7 linked regions of the Xenopus tropicalis genome follow. The protein of the gene in region 6 interacts with the protein of the main gene of each other region in a pairwise test. Links are inferred from orthologs where the notes say so. Each region holds a gene or a part of one and is shown on either strand. Other genes may lie near its edges.

Region 1 (3,970 bases), on a different chromosome or scaffold from region 6:
AAGTTCCATTCTTACTTATACTTGGTTCACTTTAGTCACTTTAGTCACCTTTAGCAACTATACAGTGTACTGTGGAAACAGGACCTACTACCTAGACCAGATGTTCAGGAGGAAGAGTTATTAGTCAGATGAAATGCAACGTCTTAACAGATACCCACCCAGGAAGGAAGGCTGGAAGAGTGCCTCTGGGCATCTAAACCTCTCATTTCCAATTGTAATTACTTGTCCATCAGGCAGTTCGTAGCTCTTTTCCAAGGATGAGGAGGATGCAGCAGTTGCCATCTCTTGTTCAAAGTCAAGAGCAACATAGCAGAGTTTCTCCTTGATGTCACGCACAATTTCTCTCTCAGCTGTGGTGGTGAAGCTGTAGCCTCTTTCGGTCAGGATTTTCATGAGGTAGTCTGTCAGGTCACGACCAGCCAAGTCCAGACGCAGGATAGCATGGGGCAAGGCATAACCTTCATAAATGGGTACTGTGTGGGTGACACCATCTCCAGAGTCCATCACGATACCAGTGGTACGACCAGAGGCATACAGAGACAGCACAGCTTGAATGGCGACATACATAGCTGGGGTGTTGAAAGTCTCAAACATGATCTAAGGGATACATGAGAACAATGTTAATTCTAAAAATCAAGACGAGTTAGAACCCCAAACCATGCCAGCATGCCATCATGCAAAACAAAGAGATAGATGTGTAGAAAAACAGAACAAGCAGAAATAAACCAATGAAACAGAAACCTGAGACTTCAGGAGGGAAATGCCAGGAGAGGTACAGAGCCCTGAAAATATTGAAAGAAAATTGGAGTTTGAGAAATAAGAATGAAGTGTACAAGAACTACCCCAAAATAAGTGTATTTGGGCCTTCCACTGAAAACAAACCTGTGTCATCTTTTCTCTGTTGGCTTTGGGGTTCAGGGGAGCTTCTGTAAGCAGGACTGGGTGCTCTTCAGGGGCTACACGAAGCTCATTGTAGAAGGTGTGATGCCAAATCTTCTCCATATCATCCCAGTTTGTAACAATTCCGTGTTCAATTGGATACTTAAGGGTAAGGATACCCCTCTTGCTTTGGGCTTCATCACCTACATAGCTGTCCTTCTGGCCCATACCAACCATTACACCCTAAAACAAAAAGAACAGTAAGTCAGCCCAAGAAAAAAAATTTAAGCTGCATTTGCTGGATGAAGGATTAAAGCATCACTTATATATACCTGGTGTCTTGGGCGTCCAACAATAGAGGGGAACACAGCACGGGGAGCATCATCTCCAGCAAAGCCGGCTTTGCACATTCCAGAGCCATTGTCAACGACGAGTGCTGCAATTTCCTCATCCATTTTATTTCTGTGTGGTAAACAAACAGATCATCATAAGCAAAATAAGGGACTGGCTATTTATCTCAGTCAGTAGCCACAACCTCACTCCGTACACAGCTAAGCCATTTGTAGGCAAGTGTACCAACAGTAAGGCATAGTAACCGTTTAATCCACTTCAGCCCCACCCTACCATGAGCGACAAGCGTTAAACACTTGTTTCTTAAGTAAAAAGATTAATCATGAATTATGTGGAAAGTTTGTACACTGAAAGCTGTACAAGGTAACAGGGAATATCCCACAGCTGATTAACAGCATTAATAGTAACACAATCAACACTTCTATGATTAGATAATCGTTTAATGAAAGGCTAAGGCAGCCCTTTTCATAGGCTAAAGACTTGAGGCAAGTGGTACAGCCAGTCACGCCCTGTTATTCCCCTCAATAGGGAAAGGGCACACCACAAAAAAAAAAAAAAAAAAAACACAAAAAGGCTACAAGACTTCAGCTGTCAGGCTAACAATACAGTGTAGCTATCCAAGCAATATAGAACATTTACAAAAATGACAGGATGTAAAGCACACAATCACCCAAGTTATTTGTATTTAAGAACAGCTGCCCATACTGCAGAATCTTTAATTTAATATAGTTATAAATAAACATAATAGAATAGATTTCTCTGACTCGCCCTAGTGTTAACCCCCGCCCTTACTTTATACAACGCAGGAGCCGGTACCGGCTAATGAACAGCAGCCCCACCCCTAGAACTGGTGTGATGTTTAAATCTGCCCTGACTGCTCGCTCAGCCAATCACAGAGCTCTTGCCCTAATATGGAAGCAGAATGCAGCAGCCACGCCCTGCCGCTGAAACAAAAAGCTACAAGCTTCAAACTCGTGGGCGTGGCCAACAGAGGTGGGGTGACTCATACAAGTAACTGGGGGGGGGAGGCGAGAAATAGCTTCACCCCTACCCTTTAGAATGGTGCAGCCCGTCATGCTATCGCAGGGAAACCCGCGCAAACTTCTAGCCATAAGGGAGGGAAGCCACCTCCGAACGGCGACTGACACCAGAGCCATATAGTTCTGTACATAGCCATATTAACATCATTCGGCACCCAGGGTAACCAGAAGTATGACAAGGGCCAGATATGTATATAGAATATGCCTATTTTAAAATAGAATATCGCAGGGCATTGTAACACATTAAGATCAACAGCAGCTTTTTAGGAGAACAAGTTAAGCGTGCATTACTGGAGACTTACAAATATCCAAGCCACAGACAATACGGTCATGTAACAATATATAGACAGAACACTACCACACGCTATCCCGGCCAACGGTACCCCATAAGACTTCTTCCGCCCACCACCCACACACAGCCGTAAGACATTGTCTAAGGTCTTACCTTGGTGCTGGAGGTTTCCTTAAGAGGAGAAATGCAAAGCTGGCAAGTTGTTACAAAGAGCGGGAAGTAGCTGTCAAGTCCGCTGCCACCGGCTGAATGAGAACCCAGTAGCGGCCGTTATCTCTATTTAACGTCACAGGCTTCCAGCCCCGCCTGCTGCCGCACAGACAGAAGATCGCCAAATATGGGCATCTTTCAGAAACACGCCTCGCCATTGGTTGCTTGGTTGGGAGAAGAGGCGGGACCGGAGTCCTGGCCCTACGTCCACCCGGAACCCCTGAAGTTACATGCGCTTATGAGCAATAGGGAGGCGTGTAAGGCCTGGCCGTGTTAGAGCAGGAAAGCCGCTACCCTTGCACATATATGTTACTATTACTTGAAACATTTCTCTAAAATGTATTGTAAAATACAGGGAAACATCGTAGTCCGGGGATTTCTAACTCTCAAGTTCTTATGCGGTGGGACAGTGAGATACGGATTACTGGGGTAGCGGAGGTTGCTGGGAAGCGTAGTTAACAATAGCAGGCGAGCGTGGTGCCACTATGGCCAAAGGGAAGGATGGAAATACCTTTTAAGGTCATGTTTTTTTCCTTAGGTGTTTCATTGTCCTTATACAGAGGGTGTGCATTTTCCTACAGTATACCCAATAGGAACACATTACATCCTTGAAACTTTATTTTTATTTCTTTATCTAAAATTAGAGTGGGATCTGGTCGAATTCCAAGCCCAGGGAGTTTTGTAAATAAAGTGCTAAGTGATACATGGGCTAAACCCTATATAGATATAACACAAATGCATGGATTGCCTATAGACAGGATATTAAAGGGCGTGGTTCTACTACATACCCCCTTTAGGTACCTTGCTGGGAAATGCTTTATTTTGTATTCTCTGAAGCCTCAGGTGCTTGAGCATTCTCCCTTTAGGGCTAAGATGGAAGGAATACATTCAGGGTGGGACTGCTGGGAAGTGAGCTCAGTCTTGCATGTCACATTACCTTAAACAGAACTTTCTAAAGAACAATCCCTGAAGGCAAGGGCTGCTTGGTGGGTACATTGCCAGATTATAAAGACAGATTCATTAAAGATGTTCGGAACAAATTGGAATAGACATTACACATATAGAGAGGGAATGGCTTAGGAATTGCAGCAGTTGTTAGAGGGAAGCTTACTTGCAGAATATCCTGTATAGTGACAGTCATGTGTTTGGCTTCATGCAGAAAATGTTGTTATGGTGAAACAAAGTTCATGGTACGTTA
Region 2 (2,451 bases), on a different chromosome or scaffold from region 6:
CCTAATTATATCACTGTACCACAGTTACACATACACACACAAGCTGCCACACAGTGTTCTCTGCCTGAATCTGGCCATACATATACCAATAAAATTATACAGTTTTTGGCATGTATAGTGGCTGGATGATCCCGATTGGTAACTATTAACTGACCACGTTAATACAAAGATTTTGCTGCTCTGATCTTTCAGGGATGTTAGACTCAGCAAAAAGAACAATTTAACATTGGCCATACTGTGTACAGCCCCTTGTACAGTATCTGTCCTGCTCATGGGTCAATCAGTAGGATACCATGCGGGACCAGCCCATCTATGGCTGGATTTAGTCTAAGATTTTAGAGGGGTGAACATGAATATGCCTGCCTCAATAGGCCAGTGTGAGTACAGAAGAACAGACACATACCACACATAAAACAACCTAAAATCAGCACATCTTACTGGCAAATCTGCTCATGTAACACACCCCAAACACTCAAGTGACAGGCAAAAACACCTTCCACTTTTAATTCTCTTTCCAACTTTTAATTTTCTCAAAAAGACTTTGATAGGATAAATTCCTGACCAGCAGCAGAATACAAACACTAAATAGCAACTTTAAAAGAGACATGTATTTTCCTCTGGCTGAAAAAAAATGCAGAAGCGCTGAAAATGGCAGTTTTTTTTCTTTATAACAATAATTAAAGCAATAAAAACTTACAAAAAAAACAAAAAAAAAAAAAACAACTTTGTAATATATACAGTCCAAGGCTGAAGCACCTGATCAGTATGTCTAGATTCCAATCGGTTTCCTTTTGCCTGCTTATGGGAGGTGTGTAGCAGCTTTGCAGTATAGAACCTCGACCATGTGACAGGTATTTAATAAAAGGTACCTTCAACCAATCTGAGATCCAGGTTTAAGTGCATTCCCATTGCAAGCTGCAAAGCTCTGCGTGGACAAATTGTCTTTTGTGTTACAGAAATAAGTCCTTAACCTCCAATTTCAGCATATTACATTTCTGATTAAAAGAAGATATACCATAAAAGTCATAGAACTTTCAAACTTTTTTTTTTTTCCTTTCTGTGGCAAGGACACAAGGAATCCGTGATAAATAAAGCAGTACAATGCGGTTTCAGGTTGAAGAATGATGGCAATGAAGGGTGGATTCAGAAAGGTAAGCACCCACTTTGGTACAGTCCAGAGGGCAGACAGTGCACTAGGTTGCTTGTAGTGTCAGATGCAGCCAAAAGTCTGTCAATGAGGGACCCTGGTATGGGATGTGGTGCCAACAGGGAAATCATGTGGTGAAGAAAATGCCCACGGCTTTGCCTTGACTGAGGTTGGTTGTTCTCTCAATCTCTCATAATCCTTTGAGACATGCATGGCACATTCATATATTTATATATATGGATTTTTTTTTTGTTTTTTTTGTTTTTCTCCCAGGGTGGTGCAGAATGTGACAGAAATAGGATGATGTTTCCCAATCCTCCCAGTGAAAAATATTAAATATCGAGATAATAAAATAGATATTTCTATACTGTACGATCAAACCTAGTGCAAGACAAGATGTCACCTGTGGTGGCCTTTGAAGTATCCTCTAGACCACGGCGTTGTGGGCAAAACAAGGCACTTCCTAAAGTGTTCTAGTTCAGCTTGTAATCTCTCTCTTTCTGATGCCACCTTTTGCTTCTGGCTCATCAAGTCCTGTGGGGAGAGATGCATGGTGTAAATAGACTGAACGCAAGAATCTCACCATGTTAAAGGCCAAAATGCCGATAAATCGCATTGACTGTAGAAGCATTTACTGATATACAGCTGGAAAATAAATACAGTCATGGAGCCAAGAATATGTCAATGTCAAGTAGAATAAAGAAAACATTTTGCCTGCACCTCTCTATTACGCTGCTTATCTACTGAACTATCTTAGCAATGGTCCATGCACCTTTCCAGCATAGAGAAACCTTCCACAAAAAGCACTACACTGCTGGCTTGTTTTTTTAAACAATAGCTAGAAAGACTGCACGCCAAAGTATGCTTTTAGTCGTAAGGGGCACTGTGAGAAAAGAAGTTAATAGACAGGGACATCACTTACTGCCATGCGGTGTGACAGCTGTTCAGCTGTCAGACTCAGGTTATAGTGCTGGGATTCTAGTCTTTTACACTGCTTCTCCAGAACCTGCCGTTCTAGGTTTTGTTCTGCAAAGAAAAAAAGTACAATTTAATCCCACTTCAAAGAGATATAAGCAACTGTAATTATGGAGCATAAGTGAAACATAGCTGTGGTAACATGTACATCTGAATCTTTGTAAATACAGCAAGGCACAATAATATGGAATGCTTGTTAACTATATTTATCTGCAAACTAGTAAAGTGCCATAGCATGGAGTAGTCATAATATATTGTTACATTAGAAAACGATTACATTAGAGACGCTTTGCATTATGATGCCCACTCTCCCTGCATTGTACCACACC
Region 3 (3,500 bases), on a different chromosome or scaffold from region 6:
TTTCAGACTGTCATTGGAGTTTCCAATAAAATAAATTACCAAAAAACTGCAAAAAATTTTTGCCAATGCAGGTTAAAGGCTTAAATGAAAAGCCCTAAACAAAAATCACTATTGAAAAAATAAAAAGCAAAAATGAAAACGAATGGGTGTCCAAAAATTGTATCAAGAAAATAAAATGTTATCTTCCCTGGATGAAAGTTGATTAAAGACCTTCCTTTGTAATCACAATAGTCTCCTGATTCACAGCAAGGTAATCATATATCAGTCACCATTAGTGATCAGTGAATCTGTCCCATTTAGCTTCACAGGACAATTTGCGAAACAGAAAAAATTTGCAAAATTTTTTAAAGTCAATGAGTGTTTTTTCATGCAACTTTTTTTTTCCCAACATTGGAATCTATGGGAGATTCTTTGCGGCAAAACCTGCCAAAAAATTTCATTCATCACTAGTCACCATTAATAGCCCTGCTCAGGGGTTCTCACATGTGCATTAAGGAACAGGAACAAAAACACAAGTGTGTAATGCTTCATACATTTTTACCACTATTTTGCCAACGTTGTCGTTTCTACACAATCTTTGTTGCTCAACACACAGCTTAAAACAACAGATTGACTTAAAGAAGAAGGACAGATGAAAACTAAATAAGCTTTATCAGAAAGGATAATAAAAGGTCTATGTAAATACAACCATAAGCACTCACAGAAAAGCTGCACTGAGTCCTCTATCAAAAGAAACACAGTATTTATTGTCTTCTTTTTTGTATATATGTTCTGCTCCATTTCTGCAGTTAATCAGGTGCAATTCAGAAGTGCTGGACATCCTTGTACAGGCATGGCACATGTTGCCATTTGACTCCTGCTACCTTCACCACTAAGAATTACATCTAGTCCTAATCCATAGCTCACTTGCATTTTAGGGTGGCAATAAACTACTTCTACTTCTAGTTCCCCCACTGAAACAATATAATGAGACCGACACAGATTTCTGGAATACTGTTCTGCACTTAATTTTCAGCGAAAGCAGCCTGTAACTCCAGATATACTTATAAAAGTGATAATATGGTTCATAATAGACAGAGCTACATTAAAACCAAATCCAAACTGCTTTTCAAGCTCTACAATATTCTGAAGAGAACAAGAAACACCTACTTGCATCTTCAACTTTCCCTGGTTGATCAGATTTTGCTTCACCTTGTGTTTCCAGTTTCGGCGAGGATTCCAGTGGCTCCAGGATACTCACTGGTGACAGTGGCGCACAGTGGCTCAAGCCTCCATCTCGTGGGAGTGTAAAACTGCGTGGTTTTGCCCCACTACCACTTTGTGCTTGTGATTGTTTACACTCTGCCAAAGAAAAAGGACCATAATGATCTAGAAGATGGCACTTTGGAGCTGGAAGGGTTGACTGTCGTCTGTGATCTGGGGAAACCACAGCTGGCTCCAAAAATACAGAGTCCTCTAGAGGAAGAGTCTGAAGATAATGAAGTCCTGAGCTAGTTAGTGGTGTCTCAATTAAATCCTGCCAGGATCGCCTTTGACTGGCTGTTTTTCTTACTGGAGAATCTGTAGTGCTTCCAGCTGCTTCCTGCCGAAATTCTTCATGCGAGGAATGGGACTGTGAGGTTTCAGTGGAAGACAGCCTGTGTTTTGGTTCCACAAATGGGCTGGCACAACTCATCTACAGGGGAGAAAAAAACCAAGTAAACCTGGGAGGATAAGAACTGCCAATAGACTTGTATTCCAGTTATGATAAAACAATCATGGTTTAAAAAAAATAAAATAAAATAATATTATGTATATATTAAATCAGCTGAAGGGATGCTACACTTTGGCTATTCCCTATTTGGGGGTGAGTGGGGAAACAGCAACTTGGAATTATATGGGAAAAATGCACCAACAGGAATGTTGAAAAACAGCCTGAAGCTAAAAATGTGTAATTCTAGAACCAAGATTGTATATTCATGTACAGGCATGGGTTCTAATATCCAGAATGCTCAGGACCTAGGGTTTCCTGGATAAAGGGTCTTTCTGTAATTTGGATACACTAAAAATTAGATTCAGGCAGATGTTTTAGAATGCCATTCTTTTATCCTCCACTCATCAGGTATACCATCAAGATCACAATGAAGTATTCTAAACTTTAACAACAGAAATTCACTCCAGATATTGTTTCCTTTCTTTTTGATTTAATAGAAGATACCTGAACCTTTAAGTTCAAGGAATATTCTATAGCAGCCTCAATTGGCAGAGAACTCAATCATCTTAAGGATCAGTTCCTTGACAATGTCCTTGTATGATATGTACAATAGTTGTAACAAGCTAGTTAGGCACTCCCATGATTTCATTACCTGTACATAAGCCCCATTTTTATGGACTTTTGCTTTCAGAGCAGCCGTATAGTGTATAGTATTGTATACTGTACATGCTACACAATGTTGTGTCCTTCCCCAGGAGAAACCCAAATGAAGCAGTAGTTTCCTTTATGCAAAGCAAATCTACAAATCTATAAAACTGCTTTAACAAACTGGACAGCCAGGGCAGTATGAAAAAAACATTCCATTTTTAGAGAAAACAAGATACGGAACTTGATTGATAGTTTAATGAATGTTTATGTATTGTAATGGTTCCAACATTATCTTGTCTCTTACCGACAATTAGCAAACATTGTTTGAGGAACTCGCAGCAAAGCACAGAATGTTTTTTTATTTCTCAGATGAAAATTGAGTGCCACTTCTGTTGCTTTTAGGAATTTACTTTGTAGACTGCGCTGTCAGTGTTTCCATGGAAACTAAGAACTTGCATATATTTACATCTTTTACTTCTGGAGTAATGGTTGTCAATTACACTGTCAGTATAAATTAATTCATTTCAGTGAAAAAATGTTCATGTTATATAATAATCTTTTTGTATGCTTTTGGGTTTTGAATAAAGTAAAAAAGCAAATGTAAAATACATGTAAAATACTGATATGAATCGCTGTAGAGCATAATTGCAGATTTAGAACTGTACATGATATACAAGAGCGTAGGAAACATTTCTGTGGTTTTACTCATCCTACACATCTCAAAGAATAGTGGAATAATACTGAGACGTGTCAGGATATATATGTAGATCCCTAGTTTCAGTATTTATGTAGCATGATCATTTTCTGCAATAAGTGTTGTGATGGTTTTAAGCTCAAAAGTAGGAAAACAAGAAAAACAAAGAAACCACATTTAGCAAATTATAAAATATACATCAGAACAGGTTGGCACTTAGATTCTGAGATGGCAAAATGGTTAGGGAGTTTCTTTCTTTGAATTACTGGGAGGCAGACTGTATTTCAGGCAGTTATTAAAATAATACACTTGATAAAGGGTATTGATCCGAAACATGTTGTGTTACCACTACCCACAATAAATGTTTTGCAGTAAACCTGCTGAAGCTTTTTTCCTATTTTTTGGATTTCTACAATTGTATTTGGTTGCAGCACAGAGCAACAACTAGGAGCTAAAGCTTTTTTC
Region 4 (3,769 bases), on a different chromosome or scaffold from region 6:
TTATTAAAAATCATAAAAGAGCTGCATATTTTTCAATTGATGTATATTGCAAAATTGCTTGAAATTGTGTTTGCTTTTCTATATGCTTAAGTTCTTTTTGGGTAGATTTCCCCTTTATGGGATGGTTCCCATGCAAACAAAATGCAAGCAAAGCAGTGATGTAGAAGCTCCCTAGATGCCTAGTAGGGAATCAAACTCTGTTCTTCAATACCTTCTCCTGCCTCACAGACTGAGATTTCACTGGTAAGTTAGATTAAATACAAAGCATTTAGCTTTTAATATACAAAGAAACATCATTGTTTTTAACTGAATGAACAGGAAGGACATGTGTTCAACACAAGTTGTATAAATTGGAATCCCACCAACCCACCTTACAGCTTGGCAACGACTGGGGAACCTGGACCCCCCTGTGAGGGAAAGCAATTAGGAAATGGAGGTTAATGGGTTGTACTGGTACTTGAGACGCCCCATGAAATGTACAGACAAATGACACATGCGAATGAGATTTTCAATATAACCTTTTTATTGAGCAAGGTTCACTTCTACATAACCCATCAACAGGTTGTGTCACAATTCTCCTAGGTTCTCTCATGACCTGCAGTCTGTATTAATTGCACCAGTGAGGTAAACATAAGGATAGATTTCTTTTATTAAGGCGAGAAAACTTCCGTTTCATGGTCTCCCTACCCCCTTTTATTTGGCTCAGTTGGTTCTTTGCATAATTCAGCTGAAGACCCCCAGCTATGCATTGCTTGGACCACAGCCCACGCCCACAGCAACTTAGGAAACCCCCAAATACGTCCTCTTCAGTTACATATCATGCAGTTGATTGTTTTGGGTTTTTTATTTTTTTTTTATGTAAATTCCCCAAGTTGTGTGGGAGGGGCACACCTGGAGCTTGCATGCATTTTTTCCCCACAAATATTGCACAGAAAGTAATATTACAGTGTCTGGAGCCCCCAACCCACGAGAGAACCCCCTTCTGCTAGAAGCCCATTAGAAGCTGTCACTTTCATGCAGTTTATCTTATGGCTTGTTCAGTCCTGCTGCTTGCTGGAATTGCTATACATTTTATCTCACTTGTCCTCAGTAACTTCCTTGACTACTGCATGTGAAGTGACCTTCTCCACCTTCTTAGTGGACACCATCTTCTCTTGCACAGTCTCCTCATGCTCTTCCACCTTTTCTGTGACTGTTACTGACTTGGTGATGTACTTTGTACCATCCTCACCTTCACTTGTTGTGGTTTCTATTTTTTTTGTGATGACTACCGTCTGCTGGGCCTTGCTGCTCTCCTTATCCTCTGACGGGCTGTCATCTTCTAGGCCATTGGTGACCACAGCTTTGTCTTCACTCTCTTCCTTTGCTTCCTCCTCTTCCACATCTCCATTCACTGCTGTATCTTCCTTCCCATCATCCCTCTGGGTACTTTTTTCTTCCTCCTGTTTGGTACCTTCTGTTTCGGATCCTACAGATGCAGCTTTGGACACAGAGATGGTCTCTTCAACACTTTTCTCCTCTGGAGTTTTTGCTTGTTTGTCCTCTCCAGCATCTTCTTCTTCAGCTCCTTCCTCAGTTTCTCCCTTCTCTTCCTCATCTGCCTCTGCCTTCTCTTCCTCCTGTTGCTCAGTGCCCTCATCTGCGTCTTCCTTTTCCTCTCCCCCTTCCTCTTTTTCCCCTGCTTCTTCCTTACCTTCCCCTGTCTCCTCATCCTCGCCTTCATCCTTTTGCTCATCTGCATCTTCCTTCTCTTCCTCCTCAGCTGCTTTTTCCTGCACTGCTGCTTGCTCCCTGACAATCTTAGTCTCTGTCATAACCTCTTCCACTACTTCCTCATCATGTGCCTCCTCAGTGGCTTCCTCTTCTCCCCCCTCTGCTTCCTCTGCCTCTTCCTCCTTTTCTGCCTCCCCTTTTTCTTCCTCAGTTTCTCCTTTACCACCTTCCTCCTCTGCTGCTACCTCTTCCTTTTCCTCCTCCTCTCCTCCTTCTTCTTTTTCCTCATCCTCTTTTCCTTCTTCTTTTTCCTCCTCTACTCCCTCCTCTTTTTCCTCCTCCTCTTCTCCTTTCTCACCCTCTTCCTCCCCCTCTTCTGCCTTAGCTTCTTCTCCCTCAGCTTCTTCCTCTCCTTCCTCTTTCTCTTCCTCTGCTTTTACATCTTCTTCCTCTCCTTGCTCTCCCCCCTCTTCTTCTTCATCTACTTTCTCTCCCTCTTCTTCCCCCTCTTCTCCCTTTTCTTCCTCTTCCTTTTCTCCCTCCTCCTCTACCTTCTCTTCTTCTTCTTCCTCCTCTCCCTCTGCCTCTTCTCCTGGAGCAGCAGCTTGAACACTACTTTCTACAGCTGCTACAATTTCCTCCTCAGCTTCTCCCTCATCCTCTTGTGTCTCCTCTCCCTGTTCCTCTTCTTCCTCTTGCTCTACAAGACCTGCGGCAAAATCATCTGCCATAGCAGCCAGTGCTGCTTCCATATCCTCAACCTTTGTCTCCTCAATAATCTCTTCTACAAATTTATGTTGCACTTTCACCCTTGGTGGCTCTGACCGTGCCTGTTGCACCCGAGTGGAGGACACTATTATTGGGGCTGGCCTGTGAATAGGGGAGGGTCCAGTAGGGACACCAGCGAATGAGAAAAACCGGGTCTCTTCACCCTCCAGAAGTTTCCTAAAAGAAGAAATTAAGATGAAAATGCAATTAATGTTACACACTGCATGGATATCAAATTGAATCTCCCACACTAGACTATAGAACCCACAACCCTCCTTATTATTGAGATGGGAAAGATTAACCCTTATTATATATATATATGTCCCCTCTATCCCACCGCTCTTCGTTTCCCTGCCTCATGAGATATTTATTAACATTGCCAAGTGCGCCTCTGGTTCGCCACTCTAAACCTACAACCATTCTGCCCCCACTCCCTCCCCTCAGCATCTTTTACTCACTCAGTAGTAACAGCTTTCTTCTTAGTATGCACCACTTACAATGCCTTGCAATCATTACACATAATCTTAAGAATTCAGTCTGGCTGCCCCCTAAGCATTTGGCTAAATTCTGCACATTCTGGGTTATGGTGGAATTCTTAACTGAATTCTACATTCTGGGCATCTCTAGACTTTCAGACACTATGATAGTGATCCATTGTGGTAACTATAATAAAAAAATGCAAATGTTCTCAGTTCACATCCCACGTTGAAAAACCACCTAAATGTTATGTAAAATGGGGGAGGTGCATCAGGACAAAGGGATGGCCCTCACTCACACCTTAATTGTTTAACTTAAAGGGTAACTAATGCTTTTATAAAGAGTCCACTAAACTGTAATGGGTGAGTATGTATATTTTTTCACAAATTGGTTTTATTATTTTTTTTCTAATAGTTTTTGAGATATAAAAGGTTTGCTGCTGTGCCTTTCCCATGCTGTGAATAAGCTAACCATGCTGAGTGTCAGAAACACATGGCAAACTGCCGACTCATGCTGGAATGAGCCAAGTAGAGGGGGGGGGGAGGAAATCTGTCAGCGGCTCACAGCATGAGTGCGTTGGTTGCAGCCAGGAGAAATAATATCAAGTTGAATTACATATTTAAACAGCTGAAACAAAAATAATGAACACTATCCAGTACAATTTAGTGTATATTTATAATAGCTCCAGTCTCCATTCAAACAATTCTATAATGTTTAGGGTGGCTTCCTAACGCTTTAGGAGATGGGTCACTTAGAAAGGGGCTCCATGCTGAATGTGTCTGACCCAAGATTTAAACACAAATCATCCTCT
Region 5 (3,500 bases), on a different chromosome or scaffold from region 6:
AAGGACATATTGGATAAATGGGAAAAACCCTAATTTTGTAGGCAATTATGAATAATATATGGTGCTGGTTTCACTTTGTGCTAAAAATGAATCCTCTCTGTAAAAATGGCCCCTTTATTGCAGCTCCCTATAGATTGTATCACTTCTCTGTCCAGTGTGAAATGAAGAGTGGGCGTGTCCTAACAGTCCCTGCCAGAAGCACAGGTAGAGGGGGACTAGCCAATCACAGCCCTGCACTCACACAAGCACAGACAGGCTTCAGTTCCCTATCAGGTCATACTAGCTGCTGATTGGTTCCTATCCTACAGTGCAGTGTACGGAGGGCCGCCGGCTCCCCAGCTCATCCAGAGAATTCAGCCAGCAGGAAGTGTAACAGATGGGCGGGGCTAGTGGGGTTTTTGTGGAATTTCTCAATAAATCAGTCTGAAACACAACTTTTTAAAGCACAATCCTTCTATATTTAGAGGAGTACAATTCACTGGTACATTCTTAATTTTTATAGGATATGTCTCCTTTAATGTCTCTTGACAACCAAAGGATTATTTCTCTAATGACTTGTGTTGTAGTAAACACTTCTGCCATTCCCTTGACATATAGCAGGGATCTACAACCTGTGGTTCTCCAGCTGTGGTTGAACTACAATTCCCAGAAGCCCCTGACAAGCAGCAGCTGTAGGGAGTTGTATTTTAGCCAGAGAAATGCAGGTTGCAGCTTTAGTCAAACAATAGCACTGCAGCATGTTTTTAACAGAACAATATACAATTGTTGATTAAAAATCTGGCAGTGATATATAGTGTCACTCAGGCTGATGGGAGAGGGGCACAGCTAGCAATCCTACAACATGACTAACTATGTGTACAGCCCAGTCCAATTCATGCAGCTGGACTCCAAGCTAACGATAAACCGTATCAGATGTCGGCTGACAAACAATAGATCACGCTGAGCTCCCACAGGACCATCCCGTCTGCCTGTTTTTCTCACTATGAATGACATTATACAGTGATGTCATTTACACTAAAGCCAAAGAACGAAGTAATTGCAGTTGACCCAAAACCACATGAGTTGCCTTTAACACAGTAAGAGGGAAAACACACTTTACATTGTGCTTTAATATTAATAGCAGAGAGGCAACATGGCAGTTACATACAAAGCAGTACTGGATAAGAAGGACTGCCTGTCTTAGCTATCAAGGCCCGCTGGGGCTCATTTAAAAGCACAGGTGATAAATGGTTACACGGCAGAGGCCCAGAGCAACCAATCAGGATTTATTTTTAATTCTCTACAGCTGAATATGTAAGGAACACAAGAGCCTCCAGTTTGGCCACTAGCAGCCAAACATTCAGAGCTTCAGGCTGTCGATGTCCCCTTCAACCCATTCATGCATTATTGTAGAATGATTCAATTCTTTACCAGTCCCATGAGAGCTGATTCCTCACAGTGGTACATGTATGTTGTCACAGTCCAGTGTAGTGTGCTGATGTCTCAGCTCTATAGTGATTTAATTTCTCTGCCCACCCTGACCATATACATAACTGAATTAATAGCCCAGTGGTCAATGTGTATGGTTAGGGTTATTAACTCAACTTTCAAGTAGGACACTCATTTAATACTCATGATGCAAGTTAGATGCAAGGTTCAAGGAATTATGTGAAGTTATGCATTGAACTTGCAAAATGTGTATTTAATAAAAGTGTGCTACTTTAAAGGTGTGAGATGACCATCTCCAGATTCAGTTGTTTGGCTAGGGTTCCCAACGAGCAGATCTTTGCCTAATATGGCCACCTTGTTTTGGATGGTATTGGGCTTATAGGGTCAAACTACTGGAACATATTAAGCGGCAGTGCTGACCAATGATGTTCCCATCCTTACATGATTTTTAAACCTGTCCGATAGATAAATGCCCAATTTTCGACTAGATACAATATTTATTGAACAGGGCCCATACACGGCAGATAAGCTGTCGACTCTGTTTGAAGAGGCTGAAATTTCGGTGGATCAACGAGATAACCAATATCAGCAAAAGCCTCAGATATCAGTCGTCTCGTCAACTGGGCAGGACTAAAGATTTTGATCGGGCGGTTGCGTTTAGGGCTGAATCATCAGATAGGGGTAGAATTCTTATTGTTTCTTCCTCCATATCTGACAATTCAGCCCTAAACGTCTATGGAGGGTACCAACGATCTTGTGGTCACAGGAAAGATTGTAATTGTAATGTGTATGGCCAGTTTAACTTTGCTGTGTGCTTTACACTAGTGAGATGAAAGCAAATTGCTGATTGGTGGTTACTATACTGATGCAACTAAAGGTGGCCATACACGGGCCGATTCTAGCTGCCGATATCGGTCCCTTAGACCAATTCAGCAGCCAATCGGCCCGTGTATGGGCACTACTAATGGGCCTGCCCGACCGATATCTGGCCTGAAATCGGTTGCTAGGGTTAATGTGATACTAGCAACTAGAATACAACAGAATGTATTTGAATGTGAATATACATTTTAATACAGTAAAACATAATCCCCTTTTTATATCTGTAAATAAAACTGCTAAAAGAAAAATACCTGTGTGTACTGGGCAGAGTGCACCTATGGGCCCTGCTTCCATCCTTCTTTGGAAGAAATATTTCTGCACATATTTAATCCTAACTGGTTAGCCCTGTGTGCTTTCAGTCTATCTTAGCCACTAATGGATAGAGACCATGCACAATAAAATGTGTCCACTAATCTGTACCAGATGGAGAGAAACTGCCAACAGCTGAGATTAAAAAACAGTTCCCCAGCACTCTACATAGATAAAGTTTAATATGAGTTTCAACATAACATGGCAATGTATGTACAACATAGCAGTGTCTGTACGGGAAAAAGAGAAACATTAAAGTGTCACTGGTCCTATGAATAGTAAAGGGCATTAACAGACAGGGTTGCATGACGGCTTGGGTTGCATTCACTGTATACACATATTACTGACCCATGGTTGCTATGAATTGATGAAAGCCCCTCTAATCAAGAGGAAAAATAGTTCTGAAGATTTAATGGTAGGACTTTTACAATGGTAGCAGCCCCTTTTACCTTGCCAAGAGGGAGTTAATGTAGTCAGGGGTTGTTGGGTCTGGACTCAGAGGTGGTGATGTCACAAATGCAGCTGCTTTAGCCCAGTTCTTGCTCCAATAGTGTGTTCCATCTGTGCCCAGGCTGGCAGTGATTGGTTCACCAAAAACAACATAGCCTGAAAATAAGAAAATGTAAATATTTTTTTTTTTTTACAAATGGAATTTACTCTCACCTCTAACATTTATTTGCCCAAATTCTACATGATTACAGCTGCAATTAAGACATTATGTGCCTTATTGGCTTAGTGCTTGTACATGCTGAATGGCATGAATGGCAATGCCAATGGCACAGATTGCTATTCTTTCAATAATTTTTAATATGGTCAGATGTCTTTCTTAAAAAGAGGTTTAGTTATTTTCCTTTTGATTTTAACTTGACTCCAGTGACTGATTA
Region 6 (3,500 bases):
GAGGAGATAATTTAAAATAATAAATACAGAGGACTCCTATTCAGAACACTTATAATGAGAGGGTTTATTCACTTGTGACTGCATCACAATTTTTCTAAAATGTAAAATATTTTGGCATTTATAAAAAAAAAAAAATTGTCCTTTCATCTCTTCAACTCCTGATTAAGAAATAATATTCCACAGAGACTATCTTATTTTTCCTTCAAATAAAACGTATTCAAGGGTTTTGGAAGGAGTAATTCCTCATAACCTTGCTAGGATCTGCCTTCTTCATTGACCTCTGCTATATATACCCAAGCAGGGACTTGAAGCATTTACTCCCCCAAGTATACATTTAAAAATCAAGTGGACCCTATGGCATACTACAGATGCAAAGATCCAAGGATGGTTAGGTATAAGGAACTCATTGAGCTACCATCAGTCAACCCTAACGCCAACATCAAAAAGCTAAAAGCAAAACTTCTGATATATGAACACAATGACCCTCCCCCCACAAGGCTTTGTTTAGGTTAAATACTTTCCTTACCTTTCGGATGCTACTAGAAATAATCTAAAATATTTAATTCACATTCATCAGCTTTAAAATGTTCATTTGTATTCTTCATGGCCATTAAATCAAATACAGCAAGTTGTAATTGATGTCCAACGAGAATTTAATCTTACAGAGGTACCCAGCGCTCCCCAGTGGACAGAGGGAGTATTTTCAGCACTTTAATACTAACCAGTATCTGCAGTACATGATGTCAGCCTACATTCTAGGTTTGGAGCTGTGTAAGTTACAGTCACACTGAATCCTACCCAGCCTGTTATTAAAGAATAAACATTGATGAAACATTCAAAAATTATTAATACTTGAAATACACCCAATCGGTCAAGCAATTATGTTACTATTTCATGCTGAGTTCTGTTAGCCCAGTTGGGGCACAATGGCTGCCATACCTCTTTTGCCCATGCTGGTTTCTCTGCAGGGTTTAGCCCTTCTTTGTAATGATAGAGTGGTTTCTTCTCAGATGACCTCTGTTGCTGCTGTTGTTGTTGCTGGAGAGAAACTAGGTAATCTCGCTCTTGCTGAAGCTGTCTCTGAAGTCGCTCTGCTTGTCTCTGTTCTTCCAACTGCTTACGCTTATACTCCTTTAAGGAAAGGTAGGTAAAAATCAGTCACAAGGCAGATGTTGACTCTTTGGCCCATTTCTAATTGTTGCAACCAACCCACCAGAGACTTTTCTGAATAGGTTTGTTTTTCTCCACAAAATAGAATGCCAAGATGTTTGACCTTATTATAGGATGTCAAGTGAAAATAAAAAGAAAGTATTTAAAAGGTAGGAATCTGAACTTTGTGGAGAAAATGCAAAAACAGTGGCAAGTTAGCCTGGAAAGCAAACTACACTCAGACTTGCTCCAACATAAACAAAAAAGTGGCCTCTCCAATAAAGCATAAGAAATTCTTTAAGGGTGTTATCTTAAAAGGTGAAGTTAAAACGTTTTCAATTCACGACTTGGTTTTTAATAAAGGCTTATTTAAAACCAGCTACATTATTTCCATTGTAAGTAAAACTGGGATGTTATGTGGGTTTAAATAAACAGGAAAAAAGAACATTTTGTTTCACAAATCGTTTTAATGACGTAACAGGATGGTAACAGTCTTTGATATCAAAGAAGGTGATTTCAGCTGGATACGTATAATAAGTTTGTCCCACTGACTTCCCATCTATGATAATTGCTGTTGTTGGCAGAGGAATGGTGTGCCTACGGCATATGAACAACCCGCCAAGTCATACGCGGCTATGCAAGAACCACTGAAGCATCCTTAGTCCTTTTGCTCAATGCTAATTCTGCAAAGCCTAAAGCGAGCACAGCTCTCCTAGGGAGCACAACAGCCATAATTCTGCTTCATGAGAACAAAGGTGTGGGTTTGTGAGGCACAACAGCAACTGACAGCTTTGCTGAACAAAAGGCTACACAGCATTCCATTACCTTGCAGGCCAAGGCTTTACAAGCCATAATTACATGCAATGGCAATGCGCAAGGAATAAACTTATTTCTAGACATGATTCATTTGCCTTTAGTTGCAAATCTGTTAGCCTGGCCCTACTTTATTAAAGTGATTTTTATGGCATAGTTTTTTCACTAAATTACACTGTTTACATTGCAAATAATTCATTTTCACTTTTAAGAAATGTCATTATTGAACCAATAATGTATTTTTAGTAGTAATATGTAGGCAGACATCTAGGGTCATTGTGCCTGAGCCTGCACTAAACAATAAAACTGCTTTCAGATAAGCTATGGTTTGTAATATTCAAAATTATTTCCCAACTTGGCTTCCTATTTCTCCTGCTTGGATACTATTCTCATAACTACCACTACGTAGCGCATGGGAGCATTTTTAGCAATGCAAATAATTTCTGACTTCATTTTGATATATACGGCATTGAAACCTGCTTTCTCCAAGCTTCAGATAACCTGCTTTTTGAAGGGTGAAGGGGTCTGTGCTGTGAGGAACCAATCCTTCTCACTATATTTAATATATTTGGTTTGTATATTTGTATATAGTTTGTTTGTGTTATCACTATATATAATAGGAGCATGGAGGAGCAATCACCAAACAAAAAGACAACATGCAGAAGACAATCCCATTTCTGCATATTATATATATATATTATGCTTGTTTGGATCATTGACAACCAAAAAGCGGACTAATCTCGAGTTTAGATTTGAGTTGTTACGAATATATTTTATTGTTCTATTCATCTGTCATTATCGGGTGACCTGACCATTTAAGGAAATATATTAAGCAAATGTTGCAGTAGTACAAATGTTAGCAGAAAGTGAAAATGCCTGAATTTATAATTCATTAAATGGCCACTATACTCTGGAAGAATAGTGATTAGTACAGGGGCATTTAGATCACCGTGACTCTCCCTGAAAGGATTATGGCACTCTGGCATGCTATCACATTTATAGGAAAAAAAAAAGACACAAATGTATTGTAAAAATCTAATGCGAAAAAAACCCTTTAGTTCCAAATCATGAAAACCTATTTTAATATGAAGAAGATCCTCTCTGTATTATTTTTAATGAAACATATTGGTACAAAGTATTTTAATGAGTGCAACAACATGCAAGGCACTTGTTCTGAAAGATGAGAACTTTGGACATATGACCAAGAAGTAGTAGGTAATGCAACACACAATGGCAGGAATGAACTGGGGAATGACTCCCATTACCAGAAGTAGAGCTTGCTCCTGCAGTAACTGCTGTTGCAATATCTCTAACTGCCTCTGCTCCTCCTCTAATTGTCGCCTTATGTATTCCTGGGTTGTGCAGCAGTGAAAGAGAAAGAAACGAGGAGAAAGAAGTGATTGAGCAAAAGAATTGTTAGTACCTTAGACACCAATTACCAAGAAAGAAACATAGCGGGTATTCAGAGCAGAGAGTACACCAGTTAGAGAGATAAATTCATGTTAAACCATACATTTATACAATGCTGCCCAGTGTTT
Region 7 (3,500 bases), on a different chromosome or scaffold from region 6:
GGAGAAGGCAAGTATGCAAAAAAAAAAATACTGTGTTTTGCATCACATATTTTTAGAACAGATGCCAATAGGAAATTTGTGGTTGGAAAAAAAAAAAACATTTTTGTATTCACACAAGAAAAATGGTCACAAATAATAGAAAATGTCCAGAATATGAAAATGTTATGACTGGCAGAAAATAATAATAAAAAAAAAAAAACCTAAAAGGAAAAATAGAAAAATCAAAAACATTCTTATTCCTATAGGTTCACATCCTAGAAGACCAGGTGAAAAACTTTACTCGTGGTGTATTTTATACTCCTATTGGCACACCGTATAAAGGTAGGAATTTTCTTTAAAATCCTTTAAAATTTCTTATTTTTCTTTTCTTATAACTAGGTTTAAGGCACATACTGTATATGGGAATGTATTATAACTTTCTAAGTTATAATATTTCTAAGATACTAGAAGCTTCAAGGCGTTTTTGGAACCTGTTAAAATTTGATGTAATGCTGAGGAAATGAATGCAGGATAGTCACATATTTTCTGGTGATATGCCTGTAATTTCAAGTGCATAAAGTTCACTTTGCAGGCTCCAACACATCATTCGTATGATCTAATAATGCTTATTCAGTTTATTCTGTGGTTACTGATAACAGAAATGTACTAAATGTCATTAAAGTAGTGTAAAATAGTGCTTCTAAATACTCTTGTTTCTTCCCTTCCCTCAGAAGTTAATAATCAACATGCAGGGGTTTCTGTTTTTGGCGAACCCACTGAATTTGAGTACTTAAGAAAGGTGATGTTTGAGTACATGATGGGGCGTGAAACAAAGGTAGGAATATTTTTGTCCTGTTTAAAATAGATGATGTTTGTGGGTTTTCTCATTAAGGCGGGGGCAAGATGTGCAATTATCCTAATCCTTGTATTCTCTGAAATGTTTCCTCTGCCCTTCATTGTCTCCCCCATACACTATTTCACTGTCCTGTACTCTCCTCCCCATATACTCTCTTCCTGACATTTCCTACCCACTTTCCTTTTCTGTATATTGTGCCCTGCACTTTCTCCCACATGTTCTGCCCCTACACTGTCCCCACCCATAAACTGTTTTTTCACTGCTTTGTCTCCCTACACTGTTTTTCTACCCTACATTCTTTTCTCTGTACAGTCTCCCTGCTTTGATTATTCTGCCCCATACACATTCTCCCTTCCCTACACTTTTTCACATATTTCTACTTTTTCTGCCTTGCACTTTCTCCCCATACACTCTTTTCTCATATATACTCAATCTGTGTTGTGCTGTCTCCCACATTCATGCTCTCCTTGCCCCTTGCACCTCAAAGCCCCATATTTCCCTTAATTCCCTGCTATTACTGCCATTTCTGTTTGGAAGACCTATCTATCTGCCAATTTACCTGCAGTGCCCTGCTATCACGTCTGTTTCAGCAAGCCCTTCAGGTTGATGTTCAGTTATAATGTTATTTCCTCACAGACAATGGCAAAGGTAATAACAACTGTGCTGAGGTTCCCAACAGATCAAGCTCAACAAATTTTGCAACGAGAAGAAACCCGACCACTGGTAAGATTCACATTTAAAACAAAAACCCCTTAGTTTTTTTTTTGTTTTTTTGTTTTCTTTATAGGTTTAGCAGACTATTGCACCTCTTTAAAACAAGTATTATAAGCAATTATAAGTAAAACTGTGCAGGACAGTGTTGTGTTTGAAACATTGTCTGTATATCACTAATTTTTATTATTTGTAGTAGTTACTAGTGAAGCGATATAGCCCCATGCTTAAAAGAGAGAGGTTAATTGTATTATTAAGTATCATACATAACATAAAGGAAAATCTCTTTAGCAGGTAACGTGTACTTGCAGGCCAGCTATGGCCATGTCTTTTGTTCATAGATAAAATAGAATACAACTGCCATTTCACTCATATCGACCAGTACCCAGTGCAGGTGAGCCAGCCTTAGTTCAGAAAGTGTCTTGAAAAAGCTGTTAAGAAAGGGCCTGAAGTGGTGTGTAATGTATAAAATATTCGTTTTTGAAGCATGGTTATTAAGCTTGAGAGGGTATTGCTACAGGGATATTAGGAACAATAAAGGAGGGAGAGACAAGGAGATTGAAATTGAGAAAGAAAGAGAAATGGCAAATTAATGGCGACCTCAGGAAATGGTGATAACAAGGACAAAAGAGAAAGCAAAAATAGAAGTAAGTATTACAATAAAGTAAAGAGAGTAAGAGTTAACAAGGGTTTAATCAAAAGCCCATTGCCTTAAATCAGTGCTCCCCAACCAGTGGTTTGTGAGTAACATGTTGCTCACCAACCCCTTGGATGTTGCTCCCAGTGGCCTCATAGTAGGTGCTCATTTTTGAATTTTTGGAATTTCTGGCTTGGAGGCAAGTTTTGATTGCATAAAACTCATTGTAAAGCCAAACAGAGCCTTCTATAGGCTGCCAGTCCACACAGGGGCTATTAAGTAGCCAATTACATCTCTTATTTGCACCCCCAGGAACTTGTCCATGCTTGTATTGCTCTCCAACAATTTTTCCATTTGAATGTGGCTCACAGGTATAAAAGGTTCGGGATCCCTGCCCTGTTGCTTAATTGGGGGAAGAAAAAATGTTTCTGTGCAAACTTTTCCATATAGGCAGAGAAGAGTGACTGTTAGAAATACAAACAATATCTAAAGGGAACATTATTTGCCCTGTTACTTAACTACCATCTAATGCTACTTACAAGTTAATGAGCACCAAAAGAATGAATCAAAGTGAACTGAGGAATTCACTCCTTCAGCTCCAATACAAGCGGAGAAATTGTAACCTCACTGACACGCTGGCATTTTAATGTATTCCTGGATGGAAATTAATATGTCTTCATTGATATATATGAAGGTGGATGCTTACCTGGGGCATTTTAGTTTCTGTTAAAATTTGTGGCAGTAAATATTTACTAAAACTGTTGCATAAAATCACTCATGTGTAGTTGTGTGTGGTTGAGGGCAGTGTCATGGAATAACCCACACCAAAAAAAGACTACAACCAACTCTATAGAAAGGTAATGGAAAAGTCTATAGATGGTCACTGAATATTACAGTTGAACCAGTAAGCAATACTAAAAGAGTAGGCATAGCTGTACATCTAGCAAGAAGCACAAGGTAGACTCTGAAATGGACTGAATGAAGGATATATGGTCCAGACCAGATATGAGCTTGTTTGGCCATTAGACTAAAGCCTGTGTTTGATGTAAGCCACTGTACATCCTCATAAACCTACCATCTTTACAGTGAAACATAGTGCTAGCAGCTTTGTGCTGTGGCACTGCTTTTCTGCAGTAGGCCTGTCATGGTAGAATGAATGCAGCAAAATGCATTAGGATTTCCACCAGGATTATACTGGGTAAGACAAAAGGGGTAATTTCCCCAACCCCTGGGTGCAAGTGCAAGAACACTAAGGGCAACAAGAGTGTATTACAAGACGATGTAGAGAGGTGTGTGCGTGTGTGTACATATATATAC

What was found.
Region 1: the proteins of tnik (region 6) and actg1 interact in a two-hybrid assay, tested with the Homo sapiens proteins (2 studies listed by BioGRID and IntAct). The link is inferred for Xenopus tropicalis from reciprocal best matches to the Homo sapiens genes TNIK and ACTG1.
Region 2: the proteins of tnik (region 6) and gse1 interact in a two-hybrid assay, tested with the Homo sapiens proteins (2 studies listed by BioGRID and IntAct). The link is inferred for Xenopus tropicalis from reciprocal best matches to the Homo sapiens genes TNIK and GSE1.
Region 3: the proteins of tnik (region 6) and cnksr2 interact in a two-hybrid assay, tested with the Homo sapiens proteins (2 studies listed by BioGRID and IntAct). The link is inferred for Xenopus tropicalis from reciprocal best matches to the Homo sapiens genes TNIK and CNKSR2.
Region 4: the proteins of tnik (region 6) and nefm interact in a two-hybrid assay, tested with the Homo sapiens proteins (2 studies listed by BioGRID and IntAct). The link is inferred for Xenopus tropicalis from reciprocal best matches to the Homo sapiens genes TNIK and NEFM.
Region 5: the proteins of tnik (region 6) and dpysl3 interact in a two-hybrid assay, tested with the Homo sapiens proteins (2 studies listed by BioGRID and IntAct). The link is inferred for Xenopus tropicalis from reciprocal best matches to the Homo sapiens genes TNIK and DPYSL3.
Region 7: the proteins of tnik (region 6) and golga4 interact in a two-hybrid assay, tested with the Homo sapiens proteins (2 studies listed by BioGRID and IntAct). The link is inferred for Xenopus tropicalis from reciprocal best matches to the Homo sapiens genes TNIK and GOLGA4.

The regions. Positions count from the first base shown.
Region 1 is NC_030686.2:28,628,393-28,632,362, forward strand, and holds the start of actg1 (actin, cytoplasmic 2), read right to left. Parts: upstream 2,801-3,970; 5' UTR 2,716-2,800; intron 1,342-2,715; 5' UTR 1,335-1,341; coding exon 1,212-1,334; intron 1,123-1,211; coding exon 883-1,122; intron 598-882; coding exon 159-597; intron 1-158. UniProt on the Homo sapiens protein: Actins are highly conserved proteins that are involved in various types of cell motility and are ubiquitously expressed in all eukaryotic cells.
Region 2 is NC_030680.2:64,862,414-64,864,864, forward strand, and holds the end of gse1 (genetic suppressor element 1), read right to left. Parts: intron 2,174-2,451; coding exon 2,070-2,173; intron 1,682-2,069; coding exon 1,547-1,681; 3' UTR 501-1,546; downstream 1-500.
Region 3 is NC_030678.2:44,236,940-44,240,439, reverse strand, and holds part of cnksr2 (connector enhancer of kinase suppressor of ras 2), read right to left. Parts: intron 1,676-3,500; coding exon 1,150-1,675; intron 1-1,149.
Region 4 is NC_030679.2:127,631,092-127,634,860, reverse strand, and holds the end of nefm (neurofilament medium polypeptide), read right to left. Parts: intron 2,659-3,769; coding exon 1,077-2,658; 3' UTR 501-1,076; downstream 1-500. UniProt on the Homo sapiens protein: Neurofilaments usually contain three intermediate filament proteins: NEFL, NEFM, and NEFH which are involved in the maintenance of neuronal caliber.
Region 5 is NC_030679.2:43,705,197-43,708,696, reverse strand, and holds part of dpysl3 (dihydropyrimidinase-related protein 3), read right to left. Parts: intron 3,223-3,500; coding exon 3,066-3,222; intron 1-3,065.
Region 6 is NC_030681.2:111,604,333-111,607,832, reverse strand, and holds part of tnik (TRAF2 and NCK-interacting protein kinase), read right to left. Parts: intron 3,315-3,500; coding exon 3,228-3,314; intron 1,132-3,227; coding exon 940-1,131; intron 1-939. UniProt on the Homo sapiens protein: Serine/threonine kinase that acts as an essential activator of the Wnt signaling pathway. Recruited to promoters of Wnt target genes and required to activate their expression. May act by phosphorylating TCF4/TCF7L2.
Region 7 is NC_030682.2:60,998,364-61,001,863, forward strand, and holds part of golga4 (golgin subfamily A member 4), read left to right. Parts: coding exon 1-7; intron 8-245; coding exon 246-321; intron 322-710; coding exon 711-814; intron 815-1,471; coding exon 1,472-1,558; intron 1,559-2,066; exon of another isoform or gene 2,067-2,193; intron 2,194-3,500. UniProt on the Homo sapiens protein: Involved in vesicular trafficking at the Golgi apparatus level. May play a role in delivery of transport vesicles containing GPI-linked proteins from the trans-Golgi network through its interaction with MACF1. Involved in endosome-to-Golgi trafficking.